3 linked regions of the Macaca fascicularis genome follow. The protein of the gene in region 2 binds, or shares a complex with, the protein of the main gene of each other region. Links are inferred from orthologs where the notes say so. Each region holds a gene or a part of one and is shown on either strand. Other genes may lie near its edges.

Region 1 (5,352 bases), on a different chromosome or scaffold from region 2:
ATCAACAGAAGACATTTCCTCATGCTTGGTAGCAGCTAGTGCATTATGAAAATTACAACACACCAGCCAAACAAGCTTTACTATATCTGAACCAGACACTGCTGTGTGGCCAAGCTGCCTTGCCCTGAGCAAGTTCATCAAGAATTACCATGGCAGGAATTCACACGGAAGAAAAATTAAAACAAATGGAAACTAGTACTAAACTTCCAGTGGACAATAAAAGTTCAGCAAGTGGGTGGGTAAGTGGAGGAATGAGGATATTTTCCAAGTTTCCTATATCTAAAACTGGCACAAGAAGTATGGGGAAAAGAGGGGATGTTTAGTTCTCAATCACACAAAGTATCTGCCACAAGTTTGGTTTCTACTCTGCCGGGTCCTTTCTTATCTGATGGAGGAAACAAATCCACTTTCAATGATAGATCTTCATTTTTTCCTGTTACCCAGAAAAATGGTATCTTCTAACATCCTTTCTGGTCACATATCAGCCTGTTCAAAATATGTCAAACGATCTGCTTAAAAAAAAAAAAAAAAAAAAATGCAATCCTCACTTGCTCTTACTACAACTACTCAAACCAGCTGGGACCAAACAAACTTAGGAGTGGGAAGGGTCAGTAAGAGGCCCACAGAGAAGCTAAGCAGTGAGAAGGGACCTGTAAGACACCTACCTGGAAACAATTCATTATTGAGCGAAGAATCAAGGTCCAGTGAATATTTACGTCTGATCCAGTGAAAAGACAGCAGTTTTCTCATATCCAGCCTTCTCCTCTGGGAAGGAAGACTGGGAGGGGCGGCAGGGGCGGGGGGGGGGGGGGGGGGGGTGACCTGAGCAGGGGGCGGGGTTAAGGATTCCCACTCCAGCCTTCCTAAACGTGGGCGGTGTTTATATTAGTGGTTGCTTCCACCAGGTCTGAAATGGCATGATCTCCACTGTCCTTTAAACACCTGGTAGATGACATAACAATGAGAAAGATGATGTTGACAATGACACTGAGTTCTAGCCATGTACCAGGCCCTATGCCCGAGTAATACAATATTAACATCTCCTTTTGGTAGATAAGGAAAGTCTAAGACTGGGCAACTTGTTCAAGGACACAAAGCCAACATGTGTTAGAACCAGGACCTGCCAAGCATGGTGGCTCACAGCAGTAATTTGGCGCTTCGGAAGGCTGAGGTGGGAGGACCTCTTGAGCCCAAGAATTAGGGACCACCTTGGGGAACAAAGGGAGACCCAGTCTCTATGGAAAATTTAAAAATTAGCCAGGCATGGTGGCACGTGCCTGTAGTCCCAGCTACTCAGAAGGCAGAGGTGGGAGAATCGCTTGAGCCTGGGAGGTGGAGGCTGTAGTGAGCCACCATGTTCATGCCACTGCACTCCAGCCTGAGTGACAGTGTGAGACCCTGTCAAAAAAAAAAAAAAAAAAAAGGAACCAGGACCTGAACCCAGAAAGTCTGACATTAGAACCCAAACTCTGTCACTCTCTCTAGACACAGCGTCTAAATAGGCACATCGGACTCTTTAATTAATGAAATTACTCGTTCCTCACTTCATCTGGGTGATGGTCCTAAATTTGGTACCTTTTTAGGTCTCCACCCGAGATGTCAACTCTCAGGGCAGTATTGGCCTGCTCCTCTCAGGTCCTCCCCACACCCTGTCTCCCTAGCTGAGTTTCACTGAAACACATTGTGACATTCAGCCCAGGTGTGCCAGAAAGCCCCAACAGCACTGAGGGCGGGAGGGAGGCGGGTGGGGGGAGGTTGGGGGCTGGCTTCCTCTAGGGACATGCTAGCTCTCAAGTTTCCAGCCTGCTTCTACACAGAGAGGTGTAACCACACACAAGCTGGACAAGAACACCACCAAGGGCTGGGACGGAGCCTAACTACCCTGTAGTATCCTTAGGCCTGCGGCCACACCAACAGACATGAGAGAGTATTCAAGCTGCTCCTGATTCACAGTTCCCTCAGAAGCTGGTCGTAGGAGAGAGAAACTGAGAAGGCATCACCTCTATAACAAGCAGCCCCTCCACAGGAATAAGAGTAAACCTGTCTCCTCGCAGAGAAATGAAAAAAGAGAAAACAGAAAGGCTCCAGGATCCACTCCCTGTATGAATTCGCCCGGCACCAACCAATACCTGTGCAGCTATCACTCTGGGAGGCCCCAGCATTTGCTCTGCTGGCCGTGACAGTGGCACGTCCCACTGTGCTGAAAGCTGAAGCCAGCAGGTCTCAATTCCACCCCTGAGCTAACACAAGGTTTCTTAATGCTCCTTTGCCATGTGTTGATCTTGCAACAGAATGTGGGACAGAAGATTTAAAAAGCTATGTGATGGGGGAAGGACAGCCAGATCACCTTACACCAGGGCTTCTCCAACAAGCTTCCTTGGATTCCCTTTAGGGGCCAGTATTACTAGCTTCTAGGGAGGTTTTCCTCAAACTGGCACTGTAAGAGCACGTGTTGCCTCTGGGGACCAGTTTGGGAGGGGGCTGGAGGGGGGCGGGGTGCAGTCTAAAGAATGGAGCAAAGCACACATCATCTCACCCTGCAAGGGACAGCAATGCCTTACTCCAGTCTGAGCTCCCAAAGGCTCTGACGTGTGGAGGTGCCAGCAGGGTCCACCCTGGGGACCCTGGGGACCCAAGGGCTGGAGGTTCTTCCTACAGAAAAAGGGAAAGCAATGGGAGAAGCCCAAATTAAAGTGACCACCGCGTCATGGGCTCGGACTGCATCAGAACCCAGTGATGTCCCTGGCTGTATCCATGCCCGCCAGTCTCCCCTAGGTCTACAGTGGATAAGGTAGGATAACCCTGGAGACCTCCTCCAAGCCCACAGCCGGCCCCACCCTTAGGGCATGCAAATATTACCGCTACAGAGCCTTGTCCCTTTTTCACAGATGGGGAAACTGAGGCATGCGGAGCAAATTACGGTGCTTTTTCAAACCAGGCTGAAGTTCACTTCTCTAGCCACAATTTTGCACTTTTTTACAGCTTTATTACATTTCCAATTTCTCCATATACACAATTGGTGTTGCAAAGTGAATTCTAAACACCGCTGAAGGACTGAACTCAAAATGAGATGAGGGCAGTCTGGGCGTCCAACAAGGCCGACTTGACCGCAAGAAGAGGATGGGTGCCCCCACCTCCACCTTATCCCCCACCCCCTCCCTGGGGACGTTCAGGTTCGGTCGCTTCCCTTCCCTCAAGCCGCTTCCACCGCAACCCAAGGGCGGGGGCGCAGCAGCGGGGCCCCGGGATCGCCGGGCGGGCTCTGATGTACCGGGGCTGAGGCGGGCGCGGGGGGCTCGGGGACCCTCCCCGGCCGCTGAGGGGGCTGCGACCGCGCGCCCAGCTCGGCGGCCGGGAACTTCTGGCGGCGCGGACCCCGCCGCCCCAGCCGCCGGGCGAATGGTGCAGTTCGGGCTTCCCTTTCTTTGCCTCGCCGCGAGTCGGGCGCGACCCCGAGGCGGCTCGGCCACTCACCATATTACAGATGGAGGCGATGTTTCGGACAGTCATTAGTCTAAAGGTTGCAGCGATCCCTCACCGCCATCTTTACAAGGGGAAACCGGGACTGCCCATGGTGGCGCGCTGGCTGGGAGGCCGGGCGGCGGCGCGGCGGCCTGGGGTCCAGCTTTCAGTTTGGCTGGGAGAGGGAGGCCGGGAGGAGGAGGCGGCGGCGCGGGGAGGGCGGGGAGGGAGCGCGGAGGGGCGGGGAGTGGCGGAGCGAGGGAGCCTGGGCCGCGGCCGGCGGCGCGGGGAGGAGGGGCGGCCCGGGCGCGCCGCGTGAGTCCAAGCCGGCCGCTCCGAGCGCTCCGGGCTGGGTTCCCGGGCCCCGCCGCGCCGCCTCCCTCCCCGCCCGGCCTGGCCTCCTGCTTTTCCATTTGATTCCCTGCCTCTCTCTATTCGGACTGGAATGCCGGGCCAGGCTCCGGGGCGCGCCGCTGCGGCAGCCGCACCCCGCAGGTCCCCCTGGCCGACTCCGACGCGGAAGCAGCGGCCCTCCTCGCCGTCGGGAAGCCAGGGAGCCGGGGACGGCACGGGGTGCGGGGTGGGGAGGCGGGAGGCCCGGGCCGGGGCGAACCCGGGGCCGCCTTCCGTCCTCGCTTTTTCCTTGTCGCCTTCCTCCCGCAGCGCCTCGGCAGCCTCCGGTGTTTAGTTTTTGGCGAGGGGTAGGGGTGGCAACGTCCAACTTTTAGTTCTTCCCGAGGGTTCCAACCAGATGGCACCGGCGGGGACCCAAGAAGTAAAATGGGGCGAGGACACCGGAGCGGTCAGAGAGCCCTCGCCAGCCGCGGGCCGGGCGCCCGAGAAAGGGCGCCAGGAGGCGAGAGGAATCCGGGTCTGGGCGGAGGCCAGCAGCGGCGCGCTTGGGCGGCTTGTAACATTAGCGGGTCCAAAGGAGACGTCCCGGTTCCGCGCAAGCACTAAGGAGCGGAAGGAACGAAAACAAAACTTTTCCATATCTTCAAGGCAGGCATACCCCTCTCAGGGATGCCCAGCCTCCAATTGTTGAGATGGACGCTGTATGGGATCATGCACATTTCCCGCATTAAAGGTCGTGTCTGTGGGTTCAGAGGGTGAGTCTGTGCACCACTTAGCAGATAGGTCCACGCGAATTGAAGGGGCCGGTTTCTGAATGTGTGAAACAGTTACACATACAAAGTTGCAATTCGATGCTTTCATGGGAGAAGTTGTACAAGTGAGATGCGTGATAAATTCTTAAATCAATATATTTAATGACAAATTGAATCAGAAGAAAAATTAGTTGAAGATAAATTTTATCTAACCAAGAGTAAACATTTGAGAGCCCTTGATTGCTAATACCCCCTAGGATCTGGGGAGGAAACAGTAAGACAGACTCGTTGACTGAAGGTTTTGGGAGTCATGTCACTGTGTTTTCCAGTGCACATAAGAAGTAATATTCCTGCTTAAGTCTTTCAACCTAAATATTATTTCCAAATACATCCTGATGATAATTTCTTCCATTGTAAGTCATGACTGATTTTCTTCTCTCTCTCTCTCTCTCTCTTTGTTTTTTAAGAGACGGGGTCTCTATGTTCCCCAGCCTGATCTTGAACTCCTGGGCTCCAGTGATCATCCCACCTTGGCCTACCAAAGCGCTGGGACAACAGGCGTGAACCACTGCACCCAATGCTTACATTCATGATCTCCTTTAATCGCCACCATAACTATTAGCCGGTAGATGCTATTATCTCGTTTTTTGCAGATCAGTAACATAAGGCTTAGAGGATCAAGTATCCTGCCCAGATGCCTTACCGAAATGCTACAGATGAAGTTGGTGTGGTAACCTGGGCTGAGCACTCTGGGAGAGGAAGAGAAGAGAGAAGACAAAAAACA
Region 2 (5,175 bases):
TAACCTCCGCCTCCTGGGTTCAAACGATTCCCTTGCCTCAGCCTCCCGAGTAGCTGGGATTACAGGTAAGCACCACCATGCCAGCTAATTTTTGTATTTTTAATAGAGACGGCATTTCTCCATATTGGCCAGGCTAGTCTCGAACTCCTGACCTCAAGTGATCTGTCCACCTTGGCTTCCCAAAGTGCTGGGATTACAAGCGTGAGACACCACGCCCGGCCTCCACTGATTATTTAGCAATATTTTAAGTCTCAAGGGTTTGTCTTGGCCTACAACTTGACAAGGAGCTCAGGGCTACTATCCCTTGGTCTGAGACAGTCAGGAGACAAAGTATATTTTACTGCAAGTACCCATATATGCTTTTTCCAAAACGAGAAGTTTTCTTTTTGATGTATAAGAGCAAATACTGTGGTAAAAAGTTCAAAAATACAAAGTTATGTATACTTCAAACTAAAAGATATCCCATGTCCTGTCTTATCTATAATCACACAATCTATTCCCAAAGGGATAATCACTGCTATGACCCTTACAGACTTTTAAAACACGTATTTCCTTTGTGGAAATGGGAATATGCCATGTTGACCTGCTTTTCTGACTCTCTCTCTCTCTCTCTGAGGCCTCCCTGGAAGACGAGCAGATCCCAGCACCATACTTCCTGTAAAGCCTATAGAACTGTGAGCCAATTATGCCTCTTTTCTTTATAAATGAGCCAGTCTCAGGTATTTCTTTATAGCAATTCAAGAATGGCTTCACACAACACCCTTGCATAAGTAGGGACAGATATATGCATATGCAAATTTGTAGAATATATTTTTAGATAAGGAATTCTGGGCTAAAGGGAGTGTTTATTTAAAAATTTGACAAAGCAAGACACAAAACAGTGAATACTATGGCTCCACTTATAGCAAAAAAAAATCACGTTAAGTCAGGTACACAAGCAGGAAGAGGTACAGAACAGTGGTTCTCAACCAGCAGCAGTTTTGCCCTCGAGGGGACATCTGAAAACGTCTGGAGACATTTTTAGTTGTCACAACCAGGGAGATGCTACCACATCTAGCTGGTAGAAGCCAGGGATGATGCTAAAGAACCTGTGATGCATAAGACAGCTCCCTCCCTCAGACACAGCCAAGAATTATCCAGACGAAAATTTCAAGAATGCTCAGGTTGATAAACTCTGGTCTAGGATTAAAACATGACATTGCCCACAGCAGCTTTCTCGGAAGCATGGAGGGCAACTCTAATCTATACTTTTGTTTGCTGGGATTTTTACAATGAACACTCATTAGTTTAAATAACACCTCATAGACAATGATGGTTCAGATGAAATCAATCCCTGTGGCTTCTCAGGCTGCTTCTATACCTTGGGGACAAATTCTGAAAGCTACCTGAATCTTCTCTTCAGCAGGTTAATCTCAGACAGCTCTTTCAAAAGTTCTTCATAGGAAATAATTTCAAGTCAGTTCACCAATCTGATTGCTACCTATGAAGAACACGGTCCTAAGTGCGGAAGAGCAAACTCTAATTTTTTATTCTGACCAGTGAAAAGTGGCATTATCCATCACCTGTCTCATTCTACATGCACTGGCTCACATTCAGCCTATTAAAACATTGGTTTTCCAAACCTGCTGCAGTTAATTTACATTTTCTTCATCCCATACTAGTACAATTGCCTTGTAAGTCTTTTTAAAATATATATACTTTATTGCATGCATTTTGGGAGTGGGTAGGCCTGGGAAGGAAGCAAGCAGGGAACACACTGCAGTAATAGGACTTTTAAGTCTTAATGCAATAAACTGAAAGGCCTGATGAACTACCCTTATTCCCCAGAGAAGTATACCACCATATAGTGTTATAGACTTGTAATACAATCAGGTTACAATTTTGAGTTATATTTCCATCCAGAGGAGACATTCTCACTACCTGCCTTGGATGCTGGTGATACTGAAATCCTATCACTAATGCACTGAAAAACTCACCTAACAGAGTGAGTTTAGACTCATTAATTTCACTCATTTCAACAAACATACAGTGAGTGCTTAAGACACTGTGCTGATCAATGAGATCAATAAAACCAAGATGTGAACTACTCAGAAGACTTTATAACCTACCACCTTCTGCTGGGATTACCTTACTGAAGGATCCCTTTATCTAACCACCTTCATCTGACACTTGATTTCAACCTGCAGAACTCCATATAATGCTGTGTTTTATAAAGAAAGCCTAGGTGTAAATTATTCCTACAACCTTTCAATCCCTTTTCCCCTCTGGGGGCCACTCTAAGTGCTAGGTAAATGTTTAAAGAATAAATGCACCAAACTGCCACTACCACATACAATACACCTGCAGGCAAACACCTGTAAGAGGGCTTTTATTCCCTGCATCACGGAAAATATTAAATGGCAATAACTTTTTTTATTATTATACTTTAAGTTCTAGGATATATGTGCATAACGTGCAGGTTTGTTACACAGGTATACATGTGCCATGCTGATTTGCTGCACCCATCAACTCATTTACATTAGGTATTTCTCCTAATGCTATCCCTCCCCCAGACCCCGACAGGCCACGGTGTGTGATGTTCCCCGAAGTGGCAATAACTCTTAAGCGTAACCCCAAACAAAAGTGAATTCACAAAGGCACAAGGCACAAGACACACACGATAAGATTAGACAACTCTTTACCACATGGACAATAAATTATACAAACAATAAAGAAAGATTCAGCGATGCACACTGAAGGTGAAGAAATAGTGAAGACGAACTTAAATTCCCAATTAAAATTATAATTTCCCCACGCACATTCTCATGTCACTTCCACCTACCCAGGGGACAGCTCCAACATAAGAGAAGGCTGGGGGCTCCCAAGTGCGGAATCCTCAGCAGAAACCCCGCAGGGCCGTCGATGCTCCGCCGCCTCGCCACGCCCCCGCACAGGCCGCTCACTCCTCCAACGCCCACCCTCCCGGGAAACCCCTGGAGGCCTCCGCTCAGACGCAGCGAGGGCAGAGCGCTTCGAAGAAAGGCAGGGGAAGAGGGAGGCAAGTGGGCGGGGAACTAGCCTATCCCGACCCCGCAAGTCCATTCCTACAGAAAAGCGGCGACCAGCAATCCCGGGCTCAGAACGCCGCCCGCGAGGGTCCCGGGCCTGGGCCCCAAGGGCCACGCAGGCCGACCCCCGCCCCTTCCTCAAGCCGTTAGCGCCGCGGCCCCACCCCTCAAGGCCGGCCGCGCCCCGCCCCGTTCGCCCCATGCCGCTACCCCGGCCGGCCGTGGTCCCGGACACCTTCTAGCTGGAGTGGGCCCGGAGCTGCCAGCCGCGTCCGGAAGGCCGAGGAACCGGGCTTCCATACCTGCACTTTCCTCCGCCCTGCTGTGTTCTGCCGGTGATGGGCCGCCATCTTGCATGTTGACACTCCGACGTCACTTCCGGAGGTGGCTCAGACCGGGCGGATGTTCTGCCCGTTTCCCTTTGGCCAAGGATCAGTGGCGGGTCTGAAGGTAGACAGGATATGTGTTTCCTGGGTGGTGTTCGTTGCTGTATGGCCGGTAGCCACCTGGTGAGGTAGATGCACCTAAAAACAAAATCATTGTGCAAGTATAATACTGATGGGGAGAGAGCCACTTTTCAGGGCTGAGTGAGCAATCCAAATCCACTTCTGTGTGGCCCTAGACCCTGGCTTGCTCTCTTTTCCAGGCCCTCCCCGAGAGGTCCAAGCGAAATGAAAGCACTGAAAGAATTAACAGTGCAAGACATGGCGCTGGACGATCTCCTAACCCTTCCTAGACAAGCAGGGGAACCAAGTGATTTACTATTAAGTACCTAAAAATGCGGAGAATTGTATCTTGGCCTCAAAGGGGGAAGAATAGAAGTCCTTGCAAAGGAGATTGCCTCCATCTTCGGGAAGAGCAAATAATCCATTTAAATTAAAAGGATAAAAAGTGGGGCCATGAAAAAGAACGAGATCATGTCCTTTGCAGGGACATGATGGAACTGGAGGCCGTTTCCTTAAGCAAACTAACAAAGGAACAGGAAACCAAATACGGCGTGTTCTCGTAAGTAGGAGCCAAATGATGAGAACGCATGGACACAAAGAGGTGGACAACACACACTGGGGCCTTTTGGAGGGTGGAGGGTGGGAGGAGGGTGAGGATCAGGAAAAATAACTAACGGGTACTAGGCTTAATACCTGGGTGACAGGCCGGGCGCGGTGGCTCAAGCCTGTAATCCCAGCACTTTGGGAGGCCGAGATGGGCGGATCACGAGGTCAGGAGATCGAGACCATCCTGGCTAACACGTGAAACTCCGTCTCTACTAAAAAAATACAAAAATTAGCGGGGAGCGGTGGCGGGCGCCTGTAGTCCCAGCTACTCAGGAGGCTGAGGCAGGAGAATGGCGTGAACCTGGGAGGTGGAGCTTGCAGTGAGCTGAGATCCGGCCACTGCACTCCAGCCTGGGGGACAGAGCGAGACTCCGTCTCAAAAAAAAAAAAAAAAAAAAAAAAAAAAAATACCTGGGTGACAAAATAGTCTGTACAACAAACCCCCATGACACAAGTTCACCTATATAACAAACCTGCACTTGTATCCCTGAACTTAAAAGTTCAAAAAAAAAAAAAAAAAAAAAGACAGAAAGATGTTACAGGAAGGTGAAAACGGTACATCAGCTAAAATTGTTCCCAGAGACAACTCAGTTCCAAACCCTGAACTGAAAACCCAGTTCTAGTTTAAATCATCTCTTATACTAGAACAGTTAGGTCCTTCTGGGTGAAAGTGTGGTTTTCACTGACACTAATTATAGGAGCTGAGGGTGATCAGGCCCTCTCTAGTGAAAGTGAATCCTATAGAACTACACTGTGGGATTTGATGTTGTATCTGCTAGTCATCTGTGGCTCTTGAGCACTTGAAATATAGCTAGTTCCAGTTTAGATACGTAATTGTAAACTACCCCCAAATTTCAAAGACTAGTTTGAAGAAAAGAATGTAAAATATCTCATTAATAATTTTTTGTATTGATTTCATGTTGAAATGATGTTTGGGGGCATATTAGGCTAAATAAAATTTATTATTAAATTTTGTCATATGGATATTAGAATATTTCAAATTACATCTGTGGTCACAAATTTCTGTTGCATAGTGCTAGTATATAAGTAATGCTTAGAAAAGTTGTCTTGACAAA
Region 3 (5,254 bases), on a different chromosome or scaffold from region 2:
AAGAATAGTCTTTTTAACAACTGGCGCTGGGACAAATGGACAGTCACATACAAAAGAATGAAGTTACCTTTACCTCAAACCATGTACAAAAAACTAACTCCAAATAGATCAAAGAAGTATATGAACAGCAACACCCAGAAAACTCTTAAAAGAAAAACATTGGATTTGGCAAAGGATTGACATGGGATTTGGCAAAGGATTATAAAATATGAATATGACACCGAAAGCATGAACAACAAAAGAAAAAACTCAGGCCAGACGTTGTGGCTCACACCTGTAATCCCAGCTCTTTGGGAGGTCGAGGTGGGCAGATCATTTGAGGCCAAGAGTTCAAGACCACCCTGGACAACATGGCGAAACCCCATCTCTACTAAAAATACAAAAAAATCAGCTGGACATGGTGGCACGCAACTGTAATCCCAGCTACTCGGGAGTCTGAGGCACAACTGTTTGAACACAGGAAGTGGAGGTGGCCGTGAGCCAATATCCAGTGACACAGTAAGACTCTGCCTCCAAAAAAAAAAGGAAAAGAGAAAAAAAAATTAGATAAATTAGACTTCATCAAAATCAAAATTAAATTTTGTGCTTCAAATGGCACCCTCAAGAAAATGAAAAGACAACCCATAGAATGGGAGGAAATATTAGCAAATGACATAACTAACAAGAAACTTGTATCCAGAATATATAACGAACTCTTACACCAAGGCCAGGCAGGGTGGCTAATGCCTGTAATTCCAGTGCTTTGGGAGGACTAGGCAAGAGGATCCCAAGGGCCAGGAGTTCAAGACCAGCCTGGGCAAAACATAGCAAGAACCCATCTCTACGAAAAGTAAAAAATTAGCCAGGTATAGGGGTATGCACCTGTACTCCTAGCTACTCCGGAAGCTGAGGTGGGAGGATGACTTGAGAACTGGAGTGGCAAGGGATGATCATGTCACTACACTCCAGCCTGAGTAACACAGCAAGATCCTGTCTTGAAAAAACAAAAACAAAACAACAACAAAAAAAACTCTTACAACAATTAAAAGACAACTCAAAGAACAGCCAAAGAATGCAAATAGATATTTTTCCACAGAAGATACACAAATCGCCAATAAGTACATAAAGAGGTGCTCAACATCATTATTCATCAGGGAAATGCAAATCAAAACCACAATGAGATGAGATACCACCTCACACCCAAAATGGAATGGCTACAATCAGAAAGTCAGATAACAAGTACCAATGGGGATGCAGAGAAATGGGAACAGCCATACACTGTTGGCAGGAACATAAAATGGTGCATCTTTGGAAAACAATCTGGCAGATCCTCAAAAGATTAAATGGCAATTCCACTCCAAAGTACAGACACATGGGAAAACAAAACATATGTGCATAAAAAGCTTGCACCCCCAATGTTTACATTAGTATTATTCAAAATAGCCATAAGGTAGAAATGGCCAAAATGTCCATTAATGAACAAATAAACAAATGTAGTATATCCACACAATGGAACAGTATTTGTCCATTAAAAGCCATGATGAGGATGTCATCGAGCCTGTAGATCAGTTTGTGGAGTATTACCATTTTAAGTGTTAAAGTCTTCCAGTCTGTGAACATGGTATTTTTTTTCTGTGTTTAGATTTCCTTTAATTTCTTTTAGCAATATTTTGTAGTTTTCAGAGTTTTTACTAATACATATCACAACATAAACGAACCTTGAAAACAGTGCCAAAAACCATATACTCTATGATTCCATATACTAAAGTCCAAAGCAGAAAATTATATAAACACATAAAGTCAATCAGTGGTTGGTTTGCCTAGGGCTGGAAGGGGGAGGGAAAGAAAAGGAGGAGGAGAGAGATGATAGCTAAAGGGTATAAAGTATCTTTCAGGTGATTAAAACTGACTGTGGTGATAAATGCAAAACTCTATCAATATACTAAAAGCCACTAAATTGTACACTTTAAATGGATGACTAGTATGGTATGTGAATTATATCTCAATAAAGCTGTTTTATGAAAAAAGAGTTTGTGCCAGGTGCGGCGGCTCACGCCTGTATTCCCAGCACTTTGGGAGGCTGAGGCAGGCGGATCGCCAGGTTAGGAGACTGAGACCATCCTGGCTAACACGGTGAAACCCCGTCTCTACTAAAAATACAAAAAATTGGCCAGGGCATGGTGGCGGTCGCCTGTAGTCCCAGCTACTCAGGAGGCTGAGGCAGGAGAATAGTGTGAACCCAGGAGGCAGAGCTTACAATGAGCCAAGATCACACCACTGCACTCCAGCCTGGGTGACAGAGCAAGACTCCGTCTCAACTTGGAGTCTCTTTTGATGAATTGTTTATATCTGACATTTAAAGCTCAGTGTCCTGGCCAGGCGTGGTGGCTCACACCTATAATGCCAGCACTCTGAGAGGCTGAGGCAGGCTGATCACCTGAGGTCAGGAGTTCGAGACTAGCCTGGCCAACATGGTGAAACCCTCTTTCTACTAAAAAATACAAAAATTAGCCAGGTGTGGTGGCAGGCACCTGTAATCTCAGCTACTTGGGAGGCTGAGGCAGGAGCGTCACCCGAACCCAGGAGGCAGAGGTTGCAGTGAGCCAAGATCATGCCACTGCACCCCAGCCTGGGCAACAGAATGAGACTCTGTCTCAGAAAAAAATAAGTAAATAAATAAAGCTTAAGGTCCAAAACTCAAATTCACTTTTAACATCTTCAATATAAATTTTGTTTTTAAGATAAAACATATATACATATGCATACAAAAACATAGTAATGAAATAGAAATATTTTCCAGTTTCAAGTACTATGAAATCTAGTAACAATAAACTCCAAAAATGGGAATGGCAAGAGTGGATATGTCACTTCTGTAACAATAAAAAGCTGTGCTATAATCCATTAATCGGTACATTAGAGTTACAGATCCTGCTAGTACTTGAGAATGAAATGTTCAACCTTTCCCCTTCCACAAATCACCCTCATGGAGCTCATACACCCACTTTTCTGATACTGTTCTGTTGGATGTGCATGTAAGGCTCATTTCCCCAAAAAGACGTATCTTCCTTAAGAGTAAGAATCACTCATACTTAATAGTTAACCCAGCACAGCCCATACACCAATATTCACTCATTATTCTTTTCTGTCTCCTTACCATGTCTCTTTTCTTAGCCTCTCTTGCTCTGTTGGTTTTCTTCAGACTTACAAGCAAAATGAGAAAAACGAAGTCCCTAGAAGTCCAGGTTCTATGTTTCATCCTATTTCTCGTAAGTTTACTGAGGTATCAAATCTAATTATGGCAGTCGTTTAATAAACTTCAAAACAAAAATATTTTGAGATCTGGCAATCCTCAAATTAGAGCTTCTTCTGATACTATCTTTAACCATTAAAAATCTATTTCACTCTACTAAAATTCTACTAATATCACCCACAGAAATTTCCACATCTTTCCACTTTGCCTAAGAAAATGTCACAGTTGCCCTTTTCTGCCCTTTCTTTCTTAGGAAGCACACAGCCTAAGGCCTTCTCTCCAAACCTCCAAGATTATCTTTTAATGAAGCCCAACCATCATTTAAATTACTATACTGTAAATATAAAAGGTTCTGATCTAATCTTAAAATCCTAAAATACATTTTACATATGCTCTGTTGAGCAAGGCCATGTAGTACAGCTTTTATTCATTTCATCCATTTTCATAACCTCTCATGCTACCAAGCCTATATTTACTCATCAAAAGTTGTAAAAGTATTGGTAGCTAATTTTCCTGAATGTTCCACTGCATCTTTACTTTTCTCCTGCTGAGATTGGTAGTGTGCTAACAGTACCTGAAGTAAAAATTCTTTTACTTCCAAAACTAGAACAGATAACCACCTCTTAATGTTCACTTAGTACAAAAGGTATATGTTTACAAACCCACTCAACTTCTTCCCAATCTTTCACCACAACCCAAAATGCATTAAAGGCATATCTCGAATTGATTTTCACCTCTAATATATTTTTTAAAGCTAAAAAAAATGTGCATATTGTGGTAGTAGAAAAATAACTGCCTCCCTCAAAACGTCCACATCCTAATCCCCAGAACCTGTGAATTCAAGTTGCAGAAGGAATTAAGGTTGCTAAAATCAAACGACCTTGAGAGATTATCCCAGATTACCCAGGTCAGCCCTATGTAATCACACGGGTCTTGTAAGTGAAAGAGGGAAGCAGGACAGTCCCTGTCTGAGGGAGGTAATGAAAGAAAGACTGGCCAGTCATGGCTGGCTTTGAAGATGCTGCAGGGGCCAGGATCCAAAAGGCAAGGGCCGCGTCCAGGTGGCAAAGGCAAAGCAGCAGTCCCTCCTGCAGCTCCAGGAAAGAACACAGTCCAGCCAAGACCTTGGTCTCAGCCCAGCCAGACCCACACAACCTTTTTTTTTTCTTTTAAACAGAGTCTCGCTCTGTCGCCCAGGCTGGAGTGCAATGGCGCAATCATGGCTCATTGCAACCTCCACCTCCCAGGTTCAAGCAATTCTCCTGCCTCAGGCTCCCAAGTACCTGGGACAATAGGCACAGGCCACCATGCCCAGCTAATTCTCTGTATTTTTAGTAGAGATGGGGTTTCACCATGTTGGCCAGGATGCCCTCGATCTTCTGACCTTGTGATCCACCCGCCTCGGCCTCCCAAAGTGCTGGGACTACAGGCGTGAGCCACTGCGTCCGGCAACCTCCACAACTTTAGAATAATAAATTTGTGTGATTTTAAGCCACTAAACTTATGGTGATATGTTACAGCCTCATTGGAAACTAATGCACACACAAATTGGTCCATTTTAAACATTATAAATAGAAAAACAAATAGAAATAAATGCACTCTAATATCCCTAAAATCTGAAAATTAAAGTAACTGTATCTGGTTAGTTCATCTAATTTTCAGAATCCTGTGCTTAAGAATTTGAAGTTGCTTTTTTTAAAGCATAGCAGCAGTAAATATATAACCCTGAGGTGGAACATATTAAAAAATGGAAAACAAAAGAAAAACTACTTAGTTAAGTTTTAGTGTATAATCAGCTAAATCTTATTAATTATAGTTCAGATGCAAAAATGTGTTAGAACTTCATGTACTCATTCACTTGTAATATCACAAAATTAAGTCTAGGTGTGGAAAAGGTTCAACTTAATCTGTAAACTTTAGCCTGCCTAAATGTATGATTTTGGGAATACAACTATGAAAATATTCTGAAAATGTAAAAAGTTTATTTCTGTGTAGCTTCAAATACAACAAAGAATAGATGTACAT

Evidence for each region.
Region 1: the proteins of WDR48 (region 2) and USP46 are in contact, whole or in part, in a crystal structure (PDB 6JLQ), measured with the Homo sapiens proteins. The link is inferred for Macaca fascicularis from reciprocal best matches to the Homo sapiens genes WDR48 and USP46. Residues at the interface, in NP_065890.1 of Homo sapiens: Arg50, Trp77, Asp118, Tyr119, Lys121, Leu137, Arg139, Ser170, Tyr172, Thr188, Asp211, Asn212, Lys214, Ser230, Gly254, Trp256, Arg272, Ile364, Leu424, Lys425, Gly521; in NP_073743.2 of Homo sapiens: Arg181, Leu183, Asn184, Cys185, Glu186, Thr187, Cys222, Ser223, Glu224, Lys226, Cys232, Cys233, Ser234, Lys235, Gln236, Glu237, Gln239.
Region 3: the proteins of WDR48 (region 2) and USP12 are in contact, whole or in part, in a crystal structure (PDB 5K1C), measured with the Homo sapiens proteins. The link is inferred for Macaca fascicularis from reciprocal best matches to the Homo sapiens genes WDR48 and USP12. Residues at the interface, in NP_065890.1 of Homo sapiens: Arg50, Trp77, Asp118, Tyr119, Lys121, Leu137, Ser170, Tyr172, Thr188, Asp211, Asn212, Lys214, Ser230, Gly254, Trp256, Arg272, Ile363, Ile364, Leu424, Lys425; in NP_872294.2 of Homo sapiens: Arg185, Leu187, Thr188, Cys189, Glu190, Thr191, Ser227, Lys230, Cys236, Arg237, Ser238, Lys239, Gln240, Glu241, His243.

Annotation. Positions count from the first base shown.
Region 1 is NC_088379.1:81,255,905-81,261,256, reverse strand, and holds the start of USP46 (ubiquitin carboxyl-terminal hydrolase 46), read right to left. Parts: upstream 3,654-5,352; 5' UTR 3,511-3,653; coding exon 3,475-3,510; intron 3,055-3,474; exon of another isoform or gene 2,860-3,054; intron 2,653-2,859; exon of another isoform or gene 2,537-2,652; intron 943-2,536; exon of another isoform or gene 681-942; coding exon of another isoform or gene 666-680; intron 1-665. UniProt on the Homo sapiens protein: Deubiquitinating enzyme that plays a role in behavior, possibly by regulating GABA action. May act by mediating the deubiquitination of GAD1/GAD67.
Region 2 is NC_088376.1:101,122,177-101,127,351, reverse strand, and holds the start of WDR48 (WD repeat-containing protein 48), read right to left. Parts: upstream 3,416-5,175; 5' UTR 3,398-3,415; coding exon 3,350-3,397; exon of another isoform or gene 2,822-3,349; intron 1-2,821. UniProt on the Homo sapiens protein: Regulator of deubiquitinating complexes, which acts as a strong activator of USP1, USP12 and USP46. Enhances the USP1-mediated deubiquitination of FANCD2; USP1 being almost inactive by itself.
Region 3 is NC_088391.1:7,178,138-7,183,391, forward strand, and holds the start of USP12 (ubiquitin carboxyl-terminal hydrolase 12), read right to left. Parts: upstream 3,364-5,254; 5' UTR 3,236-3,363; coding exon 3,134-3,235; intron 1-3,133. UniProt on the Homo sapiens protein: Deubiquitinating enzyme that plays various roles in the regulation of the immune response and inflammation.